Coturnix japonica: one gene and its partner. The protein of the gene in region 2 purifies or fractionates together with the protein of the main gene of each other region. This does not show direct contact. Links are inferred from orthologs where the notes say so. Each region holds a gene or a part of one and is shown on either strand. Other genes may lie near its edges.

Region 1 (3,810 bases), on a different chromosome or scaffold from region 2:
TAGTGTAAATGTATTTCTAAAAAAGCATAATACAGCCATTAGTTATTGAACCTCCTAAAAAAATAAATAGATTAACTGGAAGGTAGGTGTTAAAGCATAACCTTGCTGAGAGTTTGGTATCTTTCATTTTAAATTCTTGCCAGTTATCAGAATGTTATAGTCCTAAGGCCAAAATGTGCCTTAAGTTCTATAGTCTAGATCTAGGGTAGTGATGAAACCAGTCTCAAAAGAAGAGAATTAAATTGATCAGAGCAAGTAAAGCAACTATTTCACTCTATACAGTGGCTTAAGAACACTCACTATTTTACTAATTCCATTACAGTCAAAAGTTAAGACTTATAGGAAATAAATATACAATATATAATAATAAGAAGTCTGCTCAACAGCTACAAAGACACTTAAATTTTTATCCATAAAGCTATTACAATACTACATGATATACATAAAAGATATGACCTATAGTCAGCCACTGTAGCTGTAAAGATATACATTTGTCTCCTTCCACTAATAAAAAAAACTGGTAACAAACAAAAATACCACACAAAACAACAAATAAGCACCAAGACTTACCAGTAAGAATTTCATATTTCCAGTTGTTTTTTATCTGTAGGTCTTTGTGAGACTTCATGACTGTCTGTGCATCCTCAGGAGTATTAAAACGGACATGGCATTCTGTGTCTCCTTCTAGCATGTCAACATAAGCAACATCAGCCAGCATTGCCAAAGCATCCTATCAGGGTGTGTGAGAACACAGACTTCAGAGTACAGAAGAGTGGCTATTTTGACCACACAATTTGTAGAACAGCACTCATTTTTCATAGAAGGTTATGGAGTAGAAAGTAGTAACAATTTTTGAATCACTTGTCTAATAATTTTGAGTCAATATATTTTCATAAGATGAGCCCATAACTTTAAGACAGCTATTAACCTCTCATTGTGCTCCCAAGAACTATTTTAAGCAGTAATTCCTACAGATATTTCTTTTTCCTAAGAACAATTTTGACTAATGGAACACTAGTTTTGAAACAAAACGGACAATAACTATATCTGTACTAACATTCCTTCAAAAGAAAATAATAAGTGTTGTAACACTGAAAAGCGTCATTCCAATAGAAAAATATTCAGGGTCTTCCTACATATGAAATCCACACACACAGGTTCCTTTAAGGCAGATAATCTAAAAAGTAAAAAAAAACACAAAACAAAACAACAAAACAGTCCTTCCTATCTTTATGAAGTGATCTCTGCCTGAAAATTTTCACTAACAGCTGAAGGAGGAAGAGTCACACATGCTCTTTCAGATGAAGTACTTCACTTGTAATACCTGCTGTTAGGGAAATTAACTAAAACCACACATTCCTAGTCCATTTTGTTCACAGCAGGCAGCTCAAGCCGCTACTGTTCAAGAATTACTTGCTTTTAACCCCATCCACTACAAAGCACAACCTTAAGCAAAACAAAACTAAGCACCAAAATTGTTGAGATCCTTTGAGAATCAAAACTACTGTTCATTCTGATAACCCAAAGTCATCGTGTTTTGGTTTTTAAATTAAGACTCACACAACACATAAGTTTCTCTCCCCTGAGAAACAGGGGAGCAAATGGAAGTAGCACAGCAAAAAACTAAAATATCAAAATAACATTAGAATTGCACTGAAAAGATCTTTCAGGTATGTAGAAGTTCCCCATGCCTGTCATGCAAGAAGAAATACTGGAAATTTACTAAGAAAAACCTAAATGCATTGTCTGGCGGCAGCAGTGCTGTAGATATGACAGACCTGGTGGACAGACAAAGTAAAGGCTTTTGCTGAAGCGTTAAACATTTCACAGAAGCAACTAGTATAGCCACAAGTCAGCCAGGGAATGTCAAGTATAGTTTGCAGTTCCCTCTGCCAAGCTGAGAAACAGCTGGAGCATCCTGAGGATTGTTGTTTGTTCCAACTACAGATGTATTTTACAACTGTATTTCTTCCTAAAAATCTTTCCTCATTTGTTTGGAGATATTCTGTATAATATTTTGCCTTATTATGGAAACCACAACAACTATTAACAAGAATAAAGGCCATGCCAATCTTGTTATGTCTTTACTTTCACTGAAATGTTCTTCTTAAACTAAAGAAAAAAACTAAATTTGTTTTATTTGGAAATACCAGACTGGAAGTTTATGATTTCAGCAGTAGCTGAAAATGAGCTCTGCCCTACCTGAGCATAATGTGTTATGTGACAACACAAACTCAACTACATAAAATGTACTTTGCAGTCAAACTGAACTGGCCTTAAACGTTACAGTGACAACTACCACATTCTCAGTGCCTCCAGTACTCAGACGACTGCCTACAAATACCAAGGCAGACAAGACTGATTAAGGTGAAACCTCATGTATCATCAATTCCTTTTCAGTGAAAAATACCCTTCAAACCTTGCTAGTATTTATGCATACATTCAACTTCACACACTTGCAAGTAGAAAGCTCCCAACAATGTACAGTTAGATATCTAAGTAGTATGGTAAGCTACCTCAGAACTTGTGTTTAGATCCATTCCCATTATAAGTGGTCTGCACATTTATTCTAACATGAGTTAAAACCAAATGACAACTTTCTCATACAATATGTTTTCTTAACCCCAAATTCCTGTTGTTAAAAACAAACTAACTAACTAAAACAACAAATCACCACATACCGAAGCAAAAACAATTTACCACTATGGATTCCTTCATTTGATTTGTACCAAAACTAGTGGCACAATTACATACAGAAAAAGGTGCACCCAACAACATCAAACTCCTATTCCTGAAACGGAAGATTGGTCTCAGCAGTGATTTACTTTTAGCAGTATAACATTAACCACATTTTTCACACAGCAAATGAAAAGACAGAACAAGAAGGGCTGGAGGTAGAGGTGACAATTACTCATCCTCCAGAGCATTATTTATTTCTGCCATTATTTTCAGCCTTGGTTGAAGCACTCAAAAGGCTACATCTTGTTTGAAACATTCTCTTCACCCTATTTTGCCATCCTAAATTCTTCCATTAACAGGTACTAGAGAGGAATCCGAACACAGCTACAGGTAATCAAACAAACAAACAAAAAAATATCGTTAAAATTTGTTTAAATCGTATTCCATATTCAAACATTTGGGTGGCACTGTAAGAGGAAAGGCTAACAGCTACCCTGAGGTTACAAAGGCATTACCTTGATCTGCTTCCTGCCCGGCAGGGGCTCAGTGCTAATGATCTTCACAATTACTCCACTCACAAACTGGGGCCCCATTGTGTTAGCCTTGACAGGAGGGGCACCATCTTCACTGGTGGCTGATGGATTGGAAAAAAGGAGAGAAGAAATTTCACATTTATCAGTTTGGCAAGCCAAAATCTACAAAAGCACAGAAGCAACGTGATGTACACAGAAATGAAAAAGGAACATATTTTAAAATCGTGGATCCAGATTCCTCTCTAATGTAATAACATAAAAGAAAAAAAAATCGTAGCTTCACAAGCACCCTAGAATATTTTTTCTTCTATTCATCACAGTTAATAACCAAATCCTGAATCTATAGTGATTTAAAATAAACGACAAGTCTGTTATCGAAGTTCAATTCAATTTCAATTGAATTCAATTCAATTCACTAAATGGGAAAGGAAAGAGGATCCTGAGGTGGGGATGGGAGGAAACAATTCCATTTCAGAAAAATATACTAGTAGATCCAAGAATATGCAGCTTAACTTCTAGCTATAAACCTGATCAAACCCCATTATAAGGCATTTCTGAATGCTTTAGATTAACAGTTTTGTAGCCCTTAGAAGGGATG
Region 2 (4,334 bases):
TCAACGCATTGCAGGAGTTACATCCCTCCTCTTACAAGGATTTCTCCAAGGCGAAGCCATGAACACCAGAAGCTGCTCAGGGTGATGCAGGGCAGGTAAGTACACAGACAGAATTATTTGTTAAAGCAAGTATGATTGCAAATTAGTCTCACCGCCAGCAAAAGCTTCCAGCTTTCAAGTTATTACTGCTGGTTTTTCCTCAGAAGATAAAAAAAAAAAAGCAGGCTGAAAAGTCCAATTTTCTGGTCACTTAATACACACAACTGCCGTGCACAGCTCCAGATGTCCGTGAAGTCCTGAGTAGGAAAATATGTGAGAACTATATGAGCATAGAACCAGAAACTTCAAACAGGAATGGAAGGAGCTACAAGGAGGAGATGTTCATTCTCTGGCTGTTCCCTCAGGTAAACGTTGTTCAAAGACTTTGAACTGCAAGCTTAAGTTACAACTAGCAGCAAGCAAGACCCAGCAAAGCCTTCAGAACTCCACTGTATCACATTCCAGTCTCTCTTACTGCTGAAGCACTTCAGCTTAGCTGCTAAAATACTGACAGGCTGATCTCCTGCAGGCTGAGAACTGCCAACAACCCACCAGCTTCCAGAAGAAACTGAAAGACTCTACAGAATGAAACACCGTGCAGTCATTTTTAATCGTTTGCTAAGCGCTACTAAAAATAAGCTGACAAGAAAGGATCATTGGGCAAACAAAGCGATGGAGCAAACACTGAACACGAGGCAAACTCGAGCAGAACAGCAGCAAATCTGATGGTTTGAGTTGATGCCCAACTGGAATCGAAGCACGAGCCACCAGGAGACCTGCAGCTTCAGGATAACACCCTAAAAAGAGTTCATCCTAGAAACACATGCAGAGCTCTATCTAACCCACAGCTGGAGTAACCTACTATAGAAACAGCAGGCAGCAAGGCAGATGATCACACCAAGTTTCCTGCATCCCTCCAGTTATCCACAGCCTTTGAACTCACCCCAAGTGAACTTTAGTGTCACATTCAGGGTACCTGCACTGTAGGTATAGGCTGTGTCTTCCCTTTCACTCTGCAGCCCGTTGCAGTTGGCACTCAGGGTATCCTAAGTGATGCTTCCAGCTTTGGCCACCTGAGCTCAATGCAGCTCTCCATTGAGCACTTCTAAATGCATTACAGGGCCGATTCTTAAAAGACATTTCTCAATACTGAAAGAGGACAAGCCCATTAGGTGTATCAGAGCTATTTGGTAGATCTATATCTGCTAACGAAGGATGTTCTCCCCCACTGACATCTGCCTATATAGCAGAAGCATTTCCTACAGAGGTTTTATCAACATGAAAACAAGATACTCCTTGAGCTTCAACAATGTGCAACTGAATATCTGAGCAGGCTAAAATATTATCCGGCTAAAGCACCAATATGTGCCCACTTCTTTGTTTTAATAACTGCTTTGATTTGTCTTATGAACCTGTTATACATCCACCTCCCAGTGGATGCCCTATAGAGCCACACAGACCCTAAGCCATCCCAACCTCCAGCTCACCCCAACGGCACCAGCACCACCTGTCCCGCCCCCACCCCCCCCGTTACAATGGAAACCAACACACCTCAACCCCACCATGTAACCCCCAAACCCCCTCACATCCCCCCAAAACCCCTCACAACCCCCCAAAGCCCCTCAACATCCCCTCCATCCCCCTCCACATCCCCCCAACCCCCTCAACCCCAACCCCCCCAACCCACAACCCCTCAAACCCCCCTAATCCCCCAAACCCCCTCATATCACTCCAAAGCCCCCCCACACATCCCTCCACAACCCCTCAAACCCCCCTACATGCCCCAAACCCCTCACACCCCCCCCCAAACCCCCTAAATCCCCCCAGACCCCCTCACATCCCCCCAGTCCCCCTCACATCCCCCCAAACCCCCTCACAAACCCCCAACAAACCCCCTCACATCCCTCCCAAACCCCCCTACACCCCCCCAAGCCCCTCACATTGCTCCCCACGCCCCCTAACACGCCCACCCGAACCCCCCCACAATTCCCCAAACCTCCCACATCACCCCTACATCCCCCAACCCCCCATCCCCCCAACCTCCCCCAAAGCCCCCCCAAAACCCCACACACAACTCCCAAAACCCCCTCAAACCCCCCAAATCCCCCCAAACCCCCCCAAAAGCCCCCAAATCCCCTCATACACCCCAAACCCCCCCATAATCCACCCCAATTCCCCCTACATCACCCCAAAAAACTTCCCTCACAATTCCCCCAAACCCCCCCACACCCCTCAGACCCCCCCACATCCCCCAAACCCCCCAATCCCCCTCATAACCCCCCAAGCCCCCTCAAACCCCCCCAAACCCCCTTCAAACCCCTCCAAGACCCCCTCAAACCCCCCATAACCCCTAAACCCCCCCCCCCGCAACCCCCCAAGCCCGCCTCATAAGCCCCAAAAACCCCCCACATCCCCCCAACCCCATCACCCCCCCCTCAACCCTCTCACACCCCAAACCCTCTACATCCCACAAACCCCCACCCCCATCTCCCCAAGCCCCCAACCCCTACACCCCCCCCAAACCCCCTTCCCCATCCCTCCCATCCGCCACCTCCCCTCACAGCGAGGCCCAGCCCTCCTCACAAGGCCGCCGCTTTGCGTAAGGCCGGGACCGAACCGCTCTGTACCGACCAACCGTGCCGAACCGAGCCGTGCTCACCCGTTCTTCAGATCCACCTCGAGGATTTTGCCGTAGCCCTTGAAGAAACGCTCCACATCCCGCTCCCTCGCCTGGTAACTGAGCCGGCCGATGTACACCCGCGGCATCGCGCCCGGGGGGGGGGCGGCGCCAAACGGCGACGTAACGTCACGACGTCGCGCAGCGCTGAGTGTGGGGGGGGAATACGTCAGCGTAAGCCACGCCCACCTGTCTGCCTCATGGCTCTTAAAAGGGTCATGGCAGAAGTGGGCCCACCTCATGGCTCTTAAAAGGGGCATGGCAGCAGTGGGCCCACCTGGTCTAAAATACTGACCCCAGTGTTAGGGTCCAGGGGGTCACCTCATCATGGGATTCCACCCCAATGTTAGGGGCCATCTCACCATGGGGTTCCACCCACACCGCAGCAGACTGTTCTAACGTTAATTAAATGCCGCGGATCTCAGTGCCTCATTCTTTTACTCCCTATCAGAAGACCCCAAAAGCCTGATTTTTGCCCCCAAGAATGTGAAGAGGGACTGTAATTGTTGTTCAAAACAAGAAACCCATCCAAGCACAGAGCTGCCCACTCTGCTCTCCATAAGGTCCTGCTCGACGCTCCAGGTGAGCTGACCTAACCCTAACACTAACCCCAAACCCCACAGTGCTAACAGGGCAAAGCCCACCAGCGCCTCCCTATAGGAGCTATGGGATTTCCCAGCCCTGAGCTTGGAACAGGGAGAGTTTACAGGAGCTGTTGGAGCAACAGAATGAGCACATCAATGTTTATTGGCAAAGAGTCTTACAAAAATAGATATATCAAGGCATTGATTTCCAAGAGGTTTCCCTGCGTGTTCCACCATCAGAAGTTGGGGTGGTTCAGTAACAGCAGTAAAACTGAATTCAAGTCCAGGGCTTGGCAAAATCACATTGTTGGGGTGAGCCCAGGGGGTAGAAAATGTACCTACATTGTCCCACATAACTCCAGCCTGCATGAATGCCCCAGCATTGAATGTAGGTAGGGAAAAATTAACAATAAAAAAAGGAATAATAATACTAATATCTTCAATAGTGGTTTTGCAATTCAATCTGCTCCTTTCCCTTGAGATGGCTGAGGGAAGAGCCCAGGCTTTCAGCTGCAACAAAGCTAAAATGGGACCCAAGTCTCCCTCCAGAAGCAAACCCAGCCTCTGTTCAGTGCAGCCTCTGTAAAATTCCAGAGGCTTTTAATACCTGAAATAAGAAAAAAAGGAAAAAAAAATAACAATTTTTGCAAGGTCAGAGCAGGAGGATCTGCTTGGAGGAGGTGAAGGGCTGCATAGAGGCTGCCAGGGCCTTCTTGAAGTCCTCCAGGGGGACTGTAGTGCAGGTAGGAGCGCTGAGCTGTCCCTCCCGCACCATCTGGCACAGGGTATCCACCATGCTGGCCATGCTCTGCTTGTCTGTGAAGGAAGAAGGTGGCCCCTGTCACCAGACCTGCCTGCCACCCTGAACGCTGACCCAACCCAAACCCAACCCCAAAGCATCCCTAACCCCAAAGCCTGCAGCTCACCATGGTCCTTCTTCCACTGGGTCATCCAGAAGCCGCGCAGCCTCACGTCCCTGAAGATGAAGGCACTCTGCAGAAACAGGAGATGAGATCTGCCCCCTTCACCCTGCT

The links.
Region 1: the proteins of SRSF4 (region 2) and LARP7 purify together in Homo sapiens (affinity purification with mass spectrometry; 3 studies listed by BioGRID and IntAct, with this or other methods). This does not show direct contact. The link is inferred for Coturnix japonica from reciprocal best matches to the Homo sapiens genes SRSF4 and LARP7.

The regions. Positions count from the first base shown.
Region 1 is NC_029519.1:51,156,684-51,160,493, forward strand, and holds part of LARP7 (la-related protein 7), read right to left. Parts: intron 3,314-3,810; coding exon 3,195-3,313; intron 731-3,194; coding exon 571-730; intron 1-570. UniProt on the Homo sapiens protein: RNA-binding protein that specifically binds distinct small nuclear RNA (snRNAs) and regulates their processing and function.
Region 2 is NC_029538.1:2,451,112-2,455,445, forward strand, and holds the start of SRSF4 (serine/arginine-rich splicing factor 4), read right to left. Parts: upstream 2,853-4,334; 5' UTR 2,806-2,852; coding exon 2,699-2,805; intron 82-2,698; exon of another isoform or gene 1-81. Other genes in the region: MECR (enoyl-[acyl-carrier-protein] reductase, mitochondrial), read right to left, coding at 3,953-4,116, 4,227-4,293. UniProt on the Homo sapiens protein: Plays a role in alternative splice site selection during pre-mRNA splicing. Represses the splicing of MAPT/Tau exon 10.